3 linked regions of the Canis lupus familiaris genome follow. The protein of the gene in region 2 purifies or fractionates together with the protein of the main gene of each other region. This does not show direct contact. Links are inferred from orthologs where the notes say so. Each region holds a gene or a part of one and is shown on either strand. Other genes may lie near its edges.

Region 1 (3,645 bases), on a different chromosome or scaffold from region 2:
TCCCTCCCCACCCCTGGCCTATAACACCTTGTTTTAATTCCGAGTTAATTGTCTCATCTTGCTGCCTTATCTCAGTCTGTAATCCCGCAGACAGAAATTTCATTGTTTGTGGCACAATGGCAGGTACTCTGCGGGCACACAATTTATTGTACTTAGATTTGGTCAAGAAAAAAAACCTAATGGGGAGGCTAATTCCTTTTGGTGGGTGTGCAAAGGACCAAGATGCTTATCTTTTTCTTCACTGAACCCAGTGAAAAATCTCTATTTTGTGCGAGCTGGCATTTCACTGCAACAGAGGGTTATGGACTCACCCAAGGAGTTTACTACCTTGGGTACCCAAGTCATCCAGGATCTGCTGTAGACCTGCTGAGTCAGAATCCTTGGGGTTGGGGCCTGGACATGAAGGCTTTGAAAAAGGTTCCCTAGATGACACTCACAGGCACCCCTGGCTGAGAATCACTGATTTTTAAGGGCAAGTGGTCCATGGTCCCTTGTCTAGACTACAATGTGAGTGGTTCACCTGCTAAAGGAGTTTACTTTTTTATGTTTTTTCTGTAGTATTAACAACAGTAGTGTCTTCAGTGTTCGCTTCTTCAGAACTACAGCTGTGTGCAGTAAGTACCTGCCTTCAGTTCCCTGCCTTCTTGGGAATGGCATTTTAATGGGAAGAGCAACAATGAACAGAGTTTAATTAAAAAGGAGAAATACGGACTACATTTGAATTTTTTTTCTCTTTTCCTAGAGGATGATGTGATTACAGTCAAAACCCCAGCATTTGCAGAATCTGTCACAGAGGGAGATGTCAGGTGGGAGAAAGGTAAGTTTTTAGGCTCTACTCCTTAAGTTTAAATATTTAATAAAATTGTCATTGCCGACTCCCCCCAACCCCCACCCCAGTAATTGGGTTCCTCCCTTTTCTTTACATGCAATGTAATTTTTCCTGACACTATAGGAAAGGGGGCTTGTAACACACCTATCAAAAGGGATTTTGTGGCTACTGGAGATGTCCCCCCTTAACAGGTAGTCTTTGACTATCTTTTCAGCTGTTGGAGATACTGTTGCAGAAGATGAAGTGGTTTGTGAGATTGAAACTGACAAGGTAGGCTTGTCCTATGTTAGTGTAATTTTTCATGGTTTCCTCTTGGTTTAACCTAATTTTTTTTTCAAATGGACTTGTGAACTGTTTAAAGATAATTTTTAACTTGCTCTAACCTCAATTGTAAAAGTGTTGGAATAGCTTATTAAAAAAGAAAAACTTAAAAGTTTTAATTTTGGATTATTCTCAATATAAGTATTATGTACTTTAGCAGAATTAGTTTTGTAGCATGTGTATGTGCACGTGCATGAACTGTTTTGGTTTGTTTTGTGTATCACTTGGAAACACATTAACTGAACATTGTTTCTGAAAAAAGACAAAGGGTGAATCTTCACAATAGCATTAACTTTTCATTACTCTGAAAGTGTGGCTTTGGTGTTTCTATAAGCAGAGTCTAATATCTGTGTTGTGACTCATATTTGAGATTCTAGACAATTTTCTAATACTGAGTAAAGATTTGGACTCTTTTACAATCTGTCCTTGTTTTCTAGACATCTGTGCAGGTTCCATCACCAGCAAATGGCGTGATTGAAGCTCTTTTGGTACCTGATGGGGGAAAAGTAGAAGGAGGCACTCCTCTTTTCACACTCAGGAAAACTGGCGGTAAAGAAGTTCTCCTGGTTGTCAAGGTCTCCAGTGTTCCCCCTTGGAATTGGGGCTGAGCATAATGTACTAATACCTTGATACCTCAGAGGTTATTTGGCATTCCAGCTCCTGTTAGTTGAGAGACTAAGACAGGTGATATTTACATAGAGGGTAGTTTAAATGCCAAGTTCTAGAAGAAAAGTATTTAAAAAGAAAAAAAAAAACGTATAATTTTCTTTCCATGTATGTTTCTTATGCTAGACCTTTGTTTTTTATTTTTTTAAAGATTTTATTTATTCAAGAAAGAGACAGAGAGGCAGAGACCTAGACAGAGGGGGAAGCAGGCTTCTCGCAGAGTGCCCAGTGCATGACTTGATCCCTGGACCTGGGATCATGCCCTGAGCCGAAGGCAGCTGATCAGTCTCTGAGCCACCCAGGTATCCCATGCTAGCCCTTTTTTAAAGATATAATAGAATGAAGAAGAGTCTAAGGTATTGATTTTTTTTTTTTCCCCCTCCCCATCCCTGGCATCAGAATCCCATCGGGGTTTAAAAACAGACAAATGCAGGGCACCTGGGTGGCTCAGTTAGTTAAGTGACCAACTCTTGATTTCCACTTAGGTCATGATCTCAGGGTCCTGAGATTGAGCTTTACCCTGGGTCTGGAGCCTCCTTAAGATAGTGTGTCTGTGTGTGTGTCTCAAAAGGAAAAAAAAAAAAAAAGGGCAGCCTGGGTGGCTCAGCGGTGGTCTTTTATTTAATTTTAATTTTAATTTTAATTATTTTAATTTAATTTTAATTTTAATTTTATTTTTTATTTTGGCTCAGCGGTTTAGCGTCGCCTTCAGTCCAGGGCATGATCCTGGAGACCCAGGATGAGTCCCACATCGGGCTTCGTGCATGGAGCCTGCTCCTCCCTCTGCCTGCATCTCTGCCTCTCTCTCTGTGTCTCTCATGAACAAATAAATCTTAAAAAACAAAAAAATTTATGGGGCACCTTGGCTCAGCTGAGGGTCTGCCTTTGGCTCAGGTCATAATCATAGGGTCCTGAATTAGCCCCTTGTCAGGCTCCCTGTTGAGTGGGGAGCCTGCTTCTCTCTCTCTTCCCTTTGCCTGCTGCTCCCCCTGCTGTGTGTGCACTCCCTGTCAAATAAATAAATAAATCTTAAAATATATGTAGAACACAAATGCCTAGACCCCATGGTCCAGGGATATATTAAATCTGAGGTTTTCAGATCCTGGTTATTATCCTAGTTTGTTTTGTTTTAATGCTCTCCAACTGATTTTGATACACAGCAAGGGCTTAGAACTACTATTCTAAAGTAAGAAGCAATATTTCATGGTGTCTATTCTGGAGAAGTCAGCATGGTTTTTTCACATCTATTCTCTCCTAACATTTTTAGGGAATGTTGCTCTTTCTCTAGGGAAGAAGTGAGAAATAGGAAATGAATTTGTATGGCATTTTACAGTTAATATGAGAGATTAGATAAGAAAATATTTTTCTGATTCTTAGTTAAATTCAGTAACTACTAAAGTCTGTTTCTTTTTCATTATCCTAAAATAGTTAAGGAGAGAGATAGTAGATTGCATCATTGAGATTGATCAGAGTAAGACCAGAAGCCCAGAATGAAAATAATGTGCAGTAGAAGGGAATAAGATCAATTCTTCCATCTTCTGATCATTCCTTAAAAAGAGTATTTTTATTTTTATTTTTATTTTAAGATTTATTTATTTATTCATGAGAGACACAGACTGAGAGAGGCACAGGCAGAAGGAGAAGCAGGCTTCTTGCCTGAGCTGAAGGCAGGCGCCCCCAAAAAGAATATTTTTCTGATTTAAATATGAAACCAGATATGTACAGATGGATAAAATCAAAATGAATATCTAATTTAAAGTTGTGGTTTATGAGCATAGATGAAATGCTTTATGAGCATAGATGAAATGCTTTGAACTATGAGATTTTGA
Region 2 (3,645 bases):
AAACCATGGGAATTCCCAGACATCTTTAGGAGCTGTGGTTTTGCTCATGTTTTCTTCAGTCTCTTCATTGATATTTTGATGCCACAGATCATGACACAGTGTGAGACCAGGTCAGTAAGATATGTAGCGAGAGATGAAGTGGCTGTTTTCCTGATGCTCTTGTTTCTCTATGGATGTATCTACGATTTGACCAGAAATTCTCTCCTGAGGAAGCCATCAGATGCTAAATGCTTTTCTATGTTTGTCAAAACCATAATGGTACTGCTTACAAAAGTAGAAAATAAGCCATATGTCTGACAGTAGAAGTCTTGGCATATATTTCGGCAAAACCATAGGAAGCAGTGCTATATAATCATCAAAACATTTAATACCATGGAGACAGAGTCACAGTTTGGTGAAAGGCAGTGTGGGGCCCTCACTTGCCACTGGCTGGAACTTGAATGGCACACTCGCAACAGAAGAGAAGCTTGCTGGCATTTGCAGACATCCACAGGCTCGCAGCCTGTGGCTCAGCGTTCCCTTCCTGGGAGTGAACGCAAGTGAGCTCCGTATTTGCTGGAGCAGACCTGTGTGGGAACGTGTCCACCACCAGTAAAATGGACAGATGCCAATGCTATGAAAATCAAGAAAGGTGGGGAGTCTTCCAGATGAAAGGGAAACAAGAGAGGGCACAGAGTGGGGGCGTGTGTGTGTGGAGTCTGGGACATGGAATTGATTAGGCTGCTCAGGGAACATCCCTGTTTTAGCAAATGGGGACTACCACCTACGTCCTGTGTCGCACGCGTGTGGAGGGAGGGAGCATGGATGGTAAAAGACAAAAGGCAACAAATGCCAAATCTGAGTAAAGAGTGTATGGGAGTTATTTGTGTTATTCTTTCAACTTTCTCCACTCTGAAATTGTATCAAAATTGTAAAGTTGGGACAAGCCTAAGAGGATAGTCGCTGCAGCAGAAGCAGGTCATGTTGGCACAGAGGTTTGGAGGCGCTCATGTGTGACCACTATGGTATTGTCACACTGTGCGTGTGAGGCATTTCCTAGAAGTCAATAGGAGATATAGGTCATAGAAATACAAATATAGACAAAGTAAGGATGATCATGAAAGCTTTAAATTTTCCTTTCAAAGAAAACAGTGCTGATGGGGATCCCTGGGTGGCTCAGCAGTTTAGTGCCTGCCTTTGGCCCAGGGTGTGATCCTGGAGTCCCGGGAACGAGTCCCACGTCAGGCTCCCTGCATGGAGCCAGCTTCTCCCTCTGCCTGTGTGTGTGTGTGTGTGTGTGTCTCTGTCTCTCATGAATAAATAAAATCTTGAAAGAAAGAAGAAAAAAGAAAGAAAGAAAGAAAGAAAGAAAGAAAGAAAGAAAGAAAGAAAGAGAAAAGAAAGAAAGAAAAGGAAAGGAAAGGAAGGAAGAAAAAAAAAGAAAAGAAAAGAAAAGAAAGACAAAATAGTGCTTACAGTGTTAAATGAAGAAACTGCTGGGTTATAGACCAGCCTCTGAAATTTTTAATATATATTAGCTGTATATGTGCAAAGAAAGACATCAAGGTGTTTACCCTGTACCTGGTGGAAAGATATGTAACTTTGTTTAAATTAACTTTAATTTTTTAATCCTGTCTTCCAAACTCTATGTGTTGAACATATGAAGTTTATTCGCAGAATAGGAAACAACAAAACAGTTTTTAATAAACCACCTGAGTAGCCATTTGGGGACCAAGTAGGGCAGGTGCAGCCAGGAGGCAGCTAAGACAGTGGTGCTCCACCCACCCCACCCAGCCTAACCCCGCCCAGCCCCACCTGTCTGACCCGGCCCCGCTGGGCCAGTGGAGTGCCATCCACCTTGCCCAGCCCCGCCCAGCAGTGTGTCTCTTGCAGATCGGCTTCACCACTGACCCACGCATGGCCCGCTCCTCACCCTACCCCACTGACGTGGCCCGCGTCGTGAATGCGCCCATTTTCCACGTGAACTCGGACGACCCAGAGGCTGTCATGTATGTGTGCAAGGTGGCGGCCGAGTGGCGGAGCACCTTCCATAAGGACGTGGTAGTGGACCTGGTGAGCAGCCTCCATCTGTGTCTGGGAGAGGAGCAGTGGGCTCCCACTCGAGGCAGACCCACCCACATCCTAGGGCCCTGCCGGGAAGGAAGGTAGTTCAGGTCTTGTGTCAGGGTGTCCTCAGGTCACTGGTTTCATCTCCTGTGGTGGCGACTCTGGCATAAAGGAGATTTCAGCAGGACCCGAATTGTAGAGGAGGGACAACAGGGCGCACGGTGCAGGAGAGCAGGCTGGTGCTGGTGGGTCTCTGATGCCAACATGTCTGGGCTGTGTCCAGGTGTGTTATCGGCGCAACGGCCACAACGAGATGGATGAGCCCATGTTCACGCAGCCACTCATGTACAAGCAGATCCGCAAGCAGAAGCCCGTGCTGCAGAAGTATGCAGAGCTGCTGGTGTCCCAGGGTGTGGTCAACCAGCCGGAGTACGAGGTAAGTCCCCGGTTCCAATCCAGGAGGGGTGGACAGAGACCAGGCAGGGACAGGGCATCTGACCTCAAGCAGGTCTGCAGCCCCTAGACACAAAGCAGATGCTAGGGATAAAGATGAGAACACAGCAGGCTTCTGGCAGGCCTCAGAGCCGTCGTACACATGGGGGGCCAGCAGAGTCAGGTGCGCTGTGGTGGGTGGGGTACCCTATGCAGAGCGCCCCTAATGGCTGTGCTATGCCTGACCCCACAGGAGGAGATCTCCAAGTATGATAAGATCTGCGAGGAGGCCTTCACCAGGTCCAAGGACGAGAAGATCTTGCACATCAAGCACTGGCTGGACTCCCCCTGGCCCGGTGAGTGAAGAGCATCGCCTTTGCCCCTCTCCTCCACCCCCACCACACCCCTGTGGGCTACAGTTGGTTTCTAGAAGAGTGGCGGCCATGTGTCAGCTTGTCTCCCTGTCCTAGGCTTCTTCACCCTGGACGGACAGCCAAGGAGCATGACCTGCCCCTCCACAGGCCTGACGGAGGACATTCTGACACACATTGGGAACGTGGCCAGTTCCGTGCCCGTGGAGAACTTCACCATTCATGGAGGTGAGGACGCCCACTGACCTGTGGAAGTGTTGGGCCATGTCCGTGGACTTCTCTCCAGCACGGGACTGGCTCAGCATGGTCCTCCACCCCCGTGACAGAGGAAAGGGTGGGCCATCACAGCTGCTGGCCAGGCCGAAGGAGCTACTGCTCTTGTCCCCCGCTGGTATGCCCGGTGGCTGCTGAGCACCCTGTCTGTGCAGGACTGAGCCGGATCTTGAAGACCCGCGGGGAGATGGTGAAGAACAGGACCGTGGACTGGGCTCTGGCGGAGTACATGGCTTTCGGGTCCCTCCTGAAGGAGGGCATCCATATCCGGCTAAGCGGCCAGGATGTGGAGCGAGGCACCTTTAGGTAATTCTCTCAGGATTCTTTTGGCACCAAAAGGGAGGGCTCTGGTGTTTCTCTAGAGAAGAAAATCCTGTGTCGGCCTGCAAGCACTCTTCCCCTGCTCAGACGTTGACACTTCTGTGGAGAAGTGGCCACTGCAGCAAGTAGCTGCCTCTTGGGTCTGTGTGTCAGGGCACAGCACAGGTGCTCCCACCTTCTAATCTGTGCTGTTGTGCCACAG
Region 3 (4,444 bases), on a different chromosome or scaffold from region 2:
AAATCATCAGAGACCAATACTTTTTTGAACCTGTACTTCTTAATGCTAAAAAATCATTGTTAGATGAAAGGAAACACACTTGAAACCGTCATGAACTGGGTAAGTTTCTTATTCCACAGATTGCCAAGTTCCCATTCTGGGTTTGACACTTTGATTTGCAAAAGTGTCTTTAAAAATAAGTAAGCATACCAGATGTTACTCCCATCAAGACAGAAACAACCACTTTCTAAGCACAGGTGATACAAATAAGTTTAAGGAATTTGTCTTTCAAAAAACTCATTGTATAAAGTAGGTGTTTAATATCTTAGAGAACGTAAGGGAAAATGTTGTACTGTCACTGTCTCTAATCGTTTTTATTTTAAGATTTTATTTATTTATTCATTAGAGACACAGAGACAGAGACAGAGAGGCAAGAGACATAGGCAGAGGGAGAAGCAGGCTCCATGCAGGAAGCCCAATGTGGGACTCAATCCCGGTACTCTGGGATCACGCCCTGAGCTGAAGGTGGAAGCTCAACTGCTGAGCCACCCAGGCATCTCTCTAATGGTTATTTTTAAAAAAACTAATTAAATAGAAGAAATGTTATACATAGGAATCCATTTCCGCTGTAATAATCTTTTCTCTCAATAACAATTTTTGACTAAATGAAGTTATATTCTACTCTGATCTTATCCAGTTAACAAATTACTAGAACTCAAAATTCATTTTTTTAAAAATATTTATTTATTCGAGAGGGGGGTGAGGGGGGAGAGAGAGAGAGAAAGAGGCAGGCAGAGACACAGGCAGAGGGAGAATCAGGCTCCATGCAGGGAGCCTGACGTGGGACTCGATCCCAGGTCTCCAGGATCAGGCCCTGGGCTGAAGGCAGCGCTAAACCGCTGAGCCACCTGGGCTGCCCTCAAAATTCATTTCTATTTGATTTGGGCAGTAGTATATGATTTTTTGAAGAGACCAAAGTTTTATGGAGATGAAGCATTTCATGCCAACGCATTGCTGGAAGACTGAAAAACACAACCAGAAATATTTTGGATAGCCGAGCAAATGAGCCTCTAATATTAATGGCTTCTCTCTGTTCCTAGGGACACAGAGATGACAGTAATTTGAAACGCATACACTAATTTTTTTCTGTAGAACATCACCAATTCTATCAAAGTTTTTCCTTTCTACTACAACCCTTTAAATTTAACATGATACAAAACTAAGATTCTCATATAAAGTTGAACACGTGTTTCCATTACTTACATTCAACTAAAAACTGAAGTTGTGGAGATTAAATAGCCTAGCATCTGGCACATATTAAGATCTCAAGAAATGTTGGATCTATCATGTGATATACAGAAATAACACTGAAATGAGCTTATCCTTTAGGTGGATCTAGTTGCAATTAAATGCTAATGACTGATGAACCAAATTGTGTTTTTTTTCCCCCCAATTATGTTTTGTAGTTATTTCAGTCAATGGGATTCCCAAAAGGGTATACTTCCTACCTTTCAATGATTTCTGCCCACAGTAAGCAGAACTGCCACAAAGTCCTGGAAGTTACTAGAACCTGAACTGCAAGTCAAGCTTGGCTACAGTTCTACCCAGTAATACTACCTCCCCATACCTAGAGGTCAAAATGCTGGAAGGCTTGAGGCACATCTAAAAACTGGAGCCATAAATAGTGCTGACCTCTAACCCCACTCTCCCAAGCACCAAAGCTGTTTTCTTTAGCTACTTTTACCCTAAGCGTGTGCGTGTAAGAAGGGCAATTTCCTCCGGGTTCTGCTTGACTGCTCTTGGAAGTGACTGCCAAGAAAAACTCAACACTGTGGGAAAGGAGGGGTGGTGATTTCTGGTGAGCATGACCCAGACTTAACCCTCCAGAGCTGGGTGAAGGTGTTTCACAAATGTATACCCAAGGGGGCACTGAAGTAACATTTTTAAAAAAGATTTTATTTATTCATGAAAGACAGAGACATAGGCAGAGGGAGAAGCAGGCTTCCCGTGGGGAGCCTGATGTGGAACTTGATCCCAGGACCCCGGGATCACTACCTGAGCCAAAGCCCTACTCTCAACCACTAAGCCACCCAGGTGCCCCTGAAATAACATCTAACACAGATAGCACCTACTATATACCAGGCGCTATTTGGCAAGGTTTACATATATGTCAAGAGTTTAAGCTTCAGGACAACCCCTTGGGGTGAATACTCGTATTATCTCTTTAGAGAGCTGGAAACCGAGCAAGGGAGATTTAAAACAAAAACCTGCCTAAGCTCACAGAGCTAGTAAATGGTGAGGCAGGTGTTTGAACAGGACCAGTTTCTGAAGTTCACGTTCTTAACACACCACGTGGCCTCTTAGTCAAGAAGAACAAAATTAGGAAGACTTCAAATGAATGGGCAGGATCAACTGGGGACTCGTGGATGCCCCAGGCCCCCTTTTCTGTCAGCAGTAAATGAACGGGCATTTCTGGAGCACACCTACTGTAGCCAGCGCCGGGAGTCACAGCTGACCTCCCCGTGGACCTGGTAGAGCTCCCCTCCCCCCTTTTGCGGCTGATGGGCCCAGCAGCCGCTAGTCCCGGAGCAGGGAGCCGAGTGCCAGGCGCGAAGGCAGAACAAAAGGCCCGCTACCCTCCGGCCGCTCCGCAGCGCCCTAAGAGGCACCACACCGCGCGCCCCCAAGCCCTGGCCGTACTCCCGCGTCGGGCCCCGCCTCGACCCCGCTCGCGCCCTACCCCGGGCCGCCCATGCTGCTGCCTCACCGGCTTCTGGGAGACGCCCGACAACACGCGGGAGACAGCGGCGAGCATCTTCCTCATGGATTGCCGGCAGCGGCGGCGGCGTAGGCGACTCCCAAGTACACAGGCGGCGCGGCCCCGAAATCTCCCAAGTCTCCTTCAGGCGCCCGGAGCGGACGCCACGCCTTAACTGCAGCACGACCGACGAAACGGAAATTCGTCACGCGCCGCGCCAGGCCGCAGGCCAACCAAGCGGGCTCCCAGTTGCGTGTCCCGCCCACCGAAGAGGTCCGCGGCCGCTCATTGGGTGTTGGCGCCATAGGGGGCGGGCACTGGGGGGCTCGTTGCGTCATCACGTCACGGGCGGGCGGGGATGCGGGAACTTGAGGGCGTCCGCCTGGGAAAGTGGAGCCCCGCCTCCGGAACCCCGCGGGAAAATGGCTTTTCATGGAGTTTTGCGACTCAGGTTAGGCGTGCACGGCGGGAAACCGTACGGGCCACCTGCCGTGCGCCCAGTCTCGCCGGGGCTGCACTTTGGCAGCCTTCGTTCAATGCACGGCAAGATGAAGACTCATGGCGTGGTCGGAGCCGAGACGGAACCTCTGGTTTCTGTAAATGGTTCTGCTGCTAACTTGTCTTTAAGAGATCATGTAACAGTTGTAAAATGCTGCCCTGTGTACTTGAGTTACGATCTAAAAATCAATTCCCCAAGTAAATATTGAGAGATCAGCTGGGAAAAGCCTTTAGCTCTAGTTACTGGTTCGCGAGCTCAACGGGAGTTAACAGCCGCATGACACAGCTGATAATAAAAGCACACACAAAGAAGCAAACACAAAAATAAGTCTAGGCTCGATTCAGTGAGTTCCCAGGTCAGAGAGCTGACTGTGGGCCAGTGGGGTTACACCTGGGATACTAGGTTCAGATTTGGGGTCCCCATGTAAGGGGAATGTTGTCAAAAATGGGTGGAATCCAGGGGACAGTGGTCAGAATGGTGAGAGGCTGAAACCACAATTTGAACTCCAAGAACTTGAACCGACTCAAGGACTCAAGTCACCTTGTTTACACTTCAGGTCCCTCACGGCTTGGCTGGGATCTGCTCCATGTCATCTTCACTCTGGCACTCAAACTGATGGAATAGCATCTGTCAGCAACTTACTGTACCTACTGTACCGTAAAAGGCAAAGGGATCATTTAAACTGGCTCTCAGGGCAGCCCTGGTGGCTCAGCAGTTTAGCGCCGCCTTCAGCCCAGGGCGTGATCCTGGGGTCCCCGGATCGAGTCCCACGTCAGGCTCCCTGCATGGAGCCTGCTTCTCCCTCTGCCTGTGTGTCTGCCTCTCTCTCTTAAAAAAAATAAATAAATAGGGATCCCTGGGTGGCGCAGCGGTTTGGCGCCTGCCTTTGGCCCAGGGCGCGATCCTGGAGACCCGAGATCGAATCCCACGTCAGGCTCCCGGTGCATGGAGCCTGCCTCTCCCTCTGCCTGTGTCTCTGCCTCTCTCCCTTTCTCTCTCTGTGACTGTCATAAATAAATAAAAAATAAATAAATAAATAAACTGGCTCTCAAAGCTTCTACCCAGAAGTGACACATGTCATGTCCTCTCAATTTCCATAAACCAGAGCTAGTCACACAACCGTATCTGAGTTCAACAGGTTGAAGTATAATTCTCCTGTCAGGAGGAAACCCAGAAAAGAGGCTGAACAGTAAAACCATAGAGGATTA

What was found.
Region 1: the proteins of OGDH (region 2) and DLST fractionate together in Homo sapiens (co-fractionation; 3 studies listed by BioGRID). This does not show direct contact. The link is inferred for Canis lupus familiaris from reciprocal best matches to the Homo sapiens genes OGDH and DLST.
Region 3: the proteins of OGDH (region 2) and PDHA1 fractionate together in Homo sapiens (co-fractionation; 3 studies listed by BioGRID). This does not show direct contact. The link is inferred for Canis lupus familiaris from reciprocal best matches to the Homo sapiens genes OGDH and PDHA1.

What each region holds. Positions count from the first base shown.
Region 1 is NC_049229.1:48,328,240-48,331,884, forward strand, and holds part of DLST (dihydrolipoyllysine-residue succinyltransferase component of 2-oxoglutarate dehydrogenase complex, mitochondrial), read left to right. Parts: intron 1-558; coding exon 559-614; intron 615-742; coding exon 743-817; intron 818-1,043; coding exon 1,044-1,099; intron 1,100-1,587; coding exon 1,588-1,699; intron 1,700-3,645. UniProt on the Homo sapiens protein: Dihydrolipoamide succinyltransferase (E2) component of the 2-oxoglutarate dehydrogenase complex. The 2-oxoglutarate dehydrogenase complex catalyzes the overall conversion of 2-oxoglutarate to succinyl-CoA and CO(2).
Region 2 is NC_049237.1:14,047,362-14,051,006, reverse strand, and holds part of OGDH (2-oxoglutarate dehydrogenase, mitochondrial), read left to right. Parts: intron 1-1,872; coding exon 1,873-2,052; intron 2,053-2,329; coding exon 2,330-2,482; intron 2,483-2,731; coding exon 2,732-2,834; intron 2,835-2,948; coding exon 2,949-3,077; intron 3,078-3,277; coding exon 3,278-3,428; intron 3,429-3,645. UniProt on the Homo sapiens protein: 2-oxoglutarate dehydrogenase (E1o) component of the 2-oxoglutarate dehydrogenase complex (OGDHC). Participates in the first step, rate limiting for the overall conversion of 2-oxoglutarate to succinyl-CoA and CO(2) catalyzed by the whole OGDHC.
Region 3 is NC_049260.1:15,414,529-15,418,972, reverse strand, and holds the start of PDHA1 (pyruvate dehydrogenase E1 component subunit alpha, somatic form, mitochondrial), read right to left. Parts: upstream 2,927-4,444; 5' UTR 2,804-2,926; coding exon 2,747-2,803; intron 1-2,746. UniProt on the Homo sapiens protein: The pyruvate dehydrogenase complex catalyzes the overall conversion of pyruvate to acetyl-CoA and CO(2), and thereby links the glycolytic pathway to the tricarboxylic cycle.